Danio rerio: one gene and its partner. The protein of the gene in region 1 purifies or fractionates together with the protein of each later gene. This does not show direct contact. Links are inferred from orthologs where the notes say so. Each region holds a gene or a part of one and is shown on either strand. Other genes may lie near its edges.

Region 1 (2,910 bases):
CTGTGAGGCAAACATGCTACCCACTGCGCCACCGCGTCGACCCGTTACTTATATAAAGAATATAATTTAAATCAGCCTTTAGCTCAATTGTCAGGCTCGCTCCTGTTGGTTCTTAATCTGGCAACCTGTACTTGCATTTGTTTTGATCCAGGAATGCAATACCTAGTTCAACCACTGGGTCTCAAACTTACATACTGCACCTGTAAGACTTTTCCCAACTTCATAGGTTGTTTATAGCTGCATTTCCACTACCATTAAAATTGCACAAAAAGGAACTGCAATGAAAATATGCCTAATGGAAATGCATCAATTTCCTGCCAAAACCACAAAAAACTAATTTATTCATGACTCAAAAATGTATTTTTTTATTGTGCGGCACATAATACAGATGCATAGACAATGTTTAGAATAATGCTAAAAGGGCTGTTCTGTACTCTTATGCTGATGTCTCATGCTATGAAAGGGATTCATTAAAACAACAGTCATGGTTACTGAGTTCTAGACCTTCCTTTAATTAGAGGTCCTGTTTCATCTGAACCTTTCTCATTTCTTGTGTTTCTTTATTATCCTTTAATAGTAAACCAAACTGATGATGAATACCCTCATCATAACTGATGATGAATAATGTTACTGTTTTTTTCTCTTCATTTTGTATCTTCTGAAGTCAAGAAACGGGGTCAGACTGGCATTATTTCCTGCATTGCCTTCAGTCAGTGCCATTCCATGTATGCCTGCGGCTCGTACTCGCGCTCAGTCGGCCTTTACTCTTGTGATGATGGCTCTCTGCTGGCTCTGCTGCCCACCCGACACCATGGAGGCCTTACACACCTGCTGTTCTCACCCAATGGCTATCACCTGTACACTGGCGGGCGTAAGGTCAGTGGACTTATCGACCAATCAGAAGAGCTGTTATTAGCTTGTGCATTTTGAATTCTGCAGTTAAAAGGATGGTTCACTCAAATATTAAAATGCACTCACCATTTACTCTCGCTCAAATGGTTCCAAGCCTTCATGAGTTTTTTTATTGGGTTGAACACAAAAGAAGATATTTTAAAGAATGCTATAAACTTGTAACTATTAACTTTCATTACTATGGAATGGTTACAGGTTTCCAACATTTTTCAAAATGTCTTATTTTTTGTTGCTGAAGAAAGATACTGATAAGTAAAGGATGACATCATTTTTATGTTTTGGATGGACTATCACTTTCATATCATTGCTTTCAGGATTCAGAGATCCTGTGTTGGGACCTCAGAGATCCAGGACAGGTTTTGTTTTCCATGCAGAGGAATGTCAATACAAACCAGCGCATCTACTTTGACCTGGACCAGTAAGATTCTAATTTACAACTGGACTTAACTGAACTACTTTACTGTTGCCTCAGCATATTAATATATGTGCGTCTGATATAGATCCGGCCGGTATCTACTGAGCGGAGACACTGATGGGGTGGTGTCAGTGTGGGACACCTTAACAGCACTGCCTGATGGGAATGAGGAGATACTAAAGCCACTGCTACAGTTTCAGGCACACACCGACTGTACTAATGGCATCAGGTACAGTTATTATAATTTGAATAATGTTTAGAAGATGTAGAAAATAAAAAAATCTAAGCTGGTGTAGAATGATAAGTTCAGAGAAAAACTGCTTTAAAAATATTACAGTTTTTATAAATAGATTTGAATTATTCACCTTTTTATTATGGCTCTCCAGTTTTCAGTTTTACATGGTTTCAAAATTCTTCTGATTTGATGCTCTAAAAATTAAAAATCTGGGTCACACTTTGTTTTGACGGTTGGTTTGTTGAATTTAAGCTACATTGCATCTAAATTCCAACTAATTCTCATTAGAGTATAAGTAGTTAATTAGATTATTAGTTAGATTATAACTGTTAGGTTGGGGTTAAAGTTAGGGTTAGGGTTAATGTAAGTTGACGTATATGCAAAATTTATTATAGTCAGTTAAATGTCTGTTTAATAGCAGTATATTAAGCAGACAGTCTAGCAATACTTAAATGGACCATCAAAATAAATGTTACCAAAATATTTTGTGATTCTCAATATGTTTTGTAAAAAGAGATTTTTTTCATATAAAATTTTTCAATTAAAAATTTATTTTATTTTATCTATTTAAAAAATTTGAAACTGAAAATTATTATTTATTTATTTATTTTCATATTGTGTTTTTCATTGCGATTTCCATATTAGCATACAGATTTATGGTGAACAGAACATTTTTATTGAATATACAAAAGCAATTAAACATGAATATCCAGCAAGTGTACGGAATAAATTGACTAAATAAGTAAATAACCTTAAGGACTCAAATATATTATGTGAACATGGTAATAAACCACTATAATAATAAATTGTATATATTTTTATATAATCAAAGCAATATCTGATAATACTGATTCATCGTATTTCAATTGCCAATTCAGTTGTTTGCTTATTGTAGGTCCAGTGTTTCTAAACCACGTTCCTGCAAGACCATCATTGTCTGTCACACCCATTACAGGTCTTTTAGTCTCTGCTAATGAGCTGTTGATCTGAATCAGGTGTGTTTGATTGAGGAGACATGGAAAATGTGCAGAACTGGTGGTTCTCCAGGGACGTGGTTGAGAAACACTGGCTTAGTCCATACTGTGGTACCTAATCTGTGCTCCATATTTTCAAATCAACGTCATTTAAAAGGTTAGTTCACTCAAAAATGAAACTTCTGTCATTAGTAACTCACCCTCATGTTGTTCCAGTCCCCTGAGATCTTTATCTTAGCAACACAAATTAAGACTGTTTAGATCAGGGGTCACCAAACTTGTTCCTGAAGGGCCGGTGTCCCTGCAGGCTTTAGTTTCAACCCTAATGAAATACACATGAACTAATCAAGGTGCCTCCTAGGTATACTTAAAAC
Region 2 (3,839 bases), on another chromosome or scaffold:
GGGGGCATTACTTGATTTTAAAATGATTGAAGGAAACACACACTACTATCTATGATTATTTAATGAACATCAATGATGAACAACTTCAAATTAAAACACAAATTGCCTAAAACGCACACTCCGCACTGCCCACTCTCGTCACCGCTACCAAAGCGACCAAGCACAAAGCTTGTACTACATGTCGTTGTGACGTGCAGTTATGTTTTTTGAGAGGCGCAAGGTGGTGTGATGAGTTCTTGACAAGTAAAATATCAGAATATAATAAGAATAAATCATAACATAATTATTAATTAGCCTTGACAAAGCAGGGTCATGTGACTCCACACACGGCAGGAGTGCAATTAAAAAAATTAACCTGCAAAATATAGATCCTATTATTCACCTTATTCTCTGTGCACGAGCGGGCGCAGGCATTTGAATCTTTTTGGCTAGAGACTTCCGGTCTCCTTCACTTCCATTCATTTTTACACGTTAAAAACAGCTAGTTTTGCTGCTTTATGTTTCAAACTGATAGTTTCTTAGTATATTATTCTATTTTGTCTGTTTAATAATGCAAACACTTGTTTATAGAGCAAGTAGTTTGACCGTTTTCAGCCGTTTATTGTTCCTAGTCATTTCTCCCATAGGTAACTGAATCGGAAGTTCTGAAACAATCGCGAAAATGAGCGCACTTCCGCATTGAAGAATAAGGTCAATAGGTTCTGAATGTCTGAAATCCGGTTACTTTTCTATTAATCGCCCAGCACCACTTCATAGTAATGCATAGTGTCCACAGATCAGGATTTGCAAAGAAATTGGAATTAAAAGATCTGTTCCAACTCTCTGTGATCAGCTGCACCTCAGGAAAGAGGTCTACACTTTTAAAGCATTTTTAAAACAGTGTATGTTTGTAGTAAACATCACTATGTAATTCATAACAGCAGGAATCTCCAAAGTCACATAGTGACAGTACAACTATATACGAGGAGCAACAATATATGAGAGCAAAGTTCTAGTCAACATGTATGTGCGAGTACTGCAACCTTTGTAATGGCAAATGTGTGCGACTCGTCCTTGCAGAATTGAATAAATACCACCTTAAATACATCAAATAACCAAACTTGGTATTTTTGACTCATAAACTGAATCTCTGCTTCATCCGTGTTTGCATCTGTCACTGACTGCTGTTTATCTGACGTAACGCAGTAGAAGCAGACATGCGGGATTGGTGGGCAGAGAAAACCAGCTCATTTGCATTTAAAGGAACAGGCTACAAAAACAGCTACACTGCTCTGAGGCCAAATTGGGCATATCCTGCATTGTATTTTGAGCTTCACATTCTCAAGACACCAAAAAGCATCTTGTAAAAGGGGTACAATAAGAGCCCTCTAAATAATTTATAACTCACCCGAGTTTCTTGACCACGTTGATGTCTCTGAGGTCGACGCTGGTCGCGGTAGCAGGATCGATGACCTTCATGACAGCATCTACACTCATAGGCGCAAGCAGACTGGAGTTCTGAGACACCACCTTAGAGCAGAGCGAGGTGGAGGCGCTGTTCAGGAGACTCTCGCGGTCACTGAGCAGCAGCGGTGTACTGATGGATGTCAGGACCTCCACACCTTTATCCACAGCCTTCTGGAAGGACTCGGAAATGATGGTCGGGTGGATCCCTGCCAGGAAAAACAGATCATGTCCATTCTGTTATCATAAACACCCTTATAGTCAGGGTTTGACAGAATCTGTAGACATTTTTTGTTATTTCTGTGCATCATTTTTGTTTTATTTAATTTTTAGGGGGTTTCCACCTTTACTCGATAGAACAGTAGAAGGCATAAGACCTCGAGCAGGGAATCAAACTCGGATCACCATGACCTGATATGTCGGCACACTTAACCAGTAGGCTATTGGATATTGGGAACACAGTAACTGAAAACATTAAATAAAAATTATATCTTTTATAAAAGGATTAGAAATCAAATCCAATTATATCCACTTATTTGGTAAACAAAGCAAGTCTCTTATACAATACACCTTCTAAAAGACAGAAAATATGACTTTACAAACTGTATTGCACATAAATCATAGAAATATCTGCCTATCAGTTAATAAAATTACTGAAATTAATATAAAAACTGAATAAATATATATTTACATAAGTAAATAAATATACTCGATGGGCTAAGAATAAAATAAATAAATGAGCTTGAATGACTTCTGTGTGTGCGCCTACATTATAACCAAGTTTACATGCAAATCTCATCCAAAATTTAACAATTACTAACCGATTGGAATTAAAAATTTAAATTATTTAATGTAGTGCTTTAATTTGTTTTATTAAAATGCAATTTTTTCTGGATTGTGATTTTATAAAAACTCTTACACTTTTAGAAATAAATGAAGTATTATTCAATTTAATGTCAAAATTAGCTGCTTTAAGACACTAACCATTGTTGAATTCAAATAGTATATATAGTTTTGCTTTTGTGCGTTAATATAACATAATAAATATTCATAATAAACAAACATATATTATTTCAAAACGGTCTTTTATTTCGCATGTGATTAATCAAGATTAACCTTTGCCCAGCACTATTACCAATTCTATTGGGACTTAAAGTAGCTCCTCTCCTTTATAAGAAACAGCCTATAGCATTTATGCCCCGTTTCCACTGAGTGGTACAGTTCGGTACGCTTTTATGGTTGTTTCCCCTGTGAGAAGGCGTACCGTACTGTACCACTTTTTCAGCACCCTTTCGAAAGGGTACCAAAAGGGAGCTACACACGCAGCTGAAAGCTAATTGGTTACAGAGATACGTGTGGAGCTAGCCAGAATGAAAACAAAGGAACCATGTTTTTATACACAGCCGAGACATTAGACTGTAAAACTATATGCATATAATAAAGAGCCATGGATGACCCGAGCTCAAACAAACTTTGTCGTTGTCTTGATGTACAGACACAAAGCCAAGAAGAACAAAATCTGCCATGTCCTGTTGTTGTTTTGCGAGCCTGTCTATAAGTGTGAGCGGTTTTTGCTTTCCTCCAGGAGCTCGCGTCTATATTTGATATAACAAACTTCTTGAGCTGACGATAATACCGTGTGCGTGATTATTGAAGTGTCTCCATCATCTGATCCATTCAGAAAGAAAAGTACAAATGCGAAAGTGAAGCGCGAACAAAGGAGAAGCCCGACAACACACAGGAGCAAATTGTTTCAGCAACCTTAGTCATGAACAAACTACCATGTTAATCATCGCCTTTTGGACTATTATGATCTCTGAATGACAGAATTACTCTATAACAGAGTTTACATGTGCTGCTGAAGATTACAGACACAGATGAGAGGTTTGTGCTGACTGTGGGCTATGTTGCTTGTTGTTTATGAACCTAAATAAGGACTAACTATATACCGTGTGTAGTTTTTCTGTATTTAGTAACATCGGGAGAATGTAAGGGGCTGTCCGTGTTCATATGTAGCATTTATTTTTTTATTTTATATAATTGCAGACATTACAGTAGGCTATTTCGCACTGATTCGTTAATGAGCTGCGGTTATAATTAAATTATGTTCATAGAAAAGTTAGTAATGAACATTTATAAACAAGTATTTATGTGTATAAAGCATCTGTCTTGTGAGAAGTGCTTCTCATATGATATGTGGAGCTGTGCAGCTTTATTTCATTTATTCAAGTGAGAATGACGTCGACTAAAACTCTGTCGTACACCAAGCCCACCAAAAGGGTACCCTTGGTAGTGGAAACACAAGCCTGTTAAAGGTGACCCGTACTGTACCAGTCAGTGGAAACGGGCCATTAGTGGAAACGAGCCAAAAGTGCAAGTTTTTGATGTATATACGA

What was found.
Region 2: the proteins of wrap53 (region 1) and cct4 purify together in Homo sapiens (co-immunoprecipitation; 3 studies listed by BioGRID and IntAct, with this or other methods). This does not show direct contact. The link is inferred for Danio rerio from reciprocal best matches to the Homo sapiens genes WRAP53 and CCT4.

What each region holds. Positions count from the first base shown.
Region 1 is NC_133182.1:20,901,980-20,904,889, forward strand, and holds part of wrap53 (telomerase Cajal body protein 1), read left to right. Parts: intron 1-664; coding exon 665-876; intron 877-1,226; coding exon 1,227-1,330; intron 1,331-1,412; coding exon 1,413-1,556; intron 1,557-2,910. UniProt on the Homo sapiens protein: RNA chaperone that plays a key role in telomere maintenance and RNA localization to Cajal bodies. Specifically recognizes and binds the Cajal body box (CAB box) present in both small Cajal body RNAs (scaRNAs) and telomerase RNA template component (TERC).
Region 2 is NC_133176.1:57,153,696-57,157,534, forward strand, and holds part of cct4 (T-complex protein 1 subunit delta), read right to left. Parts: intron 1,653-3,839; coding exon 1,388-1,652; intron 1-1,387. UniProt on the Homo sapiens protein: Component of the chaperonin-containing T-complex (TRiC), a molecular chaperone complex that assists the folding of actin, tubulin and other proteins upon ATP hydrolysis.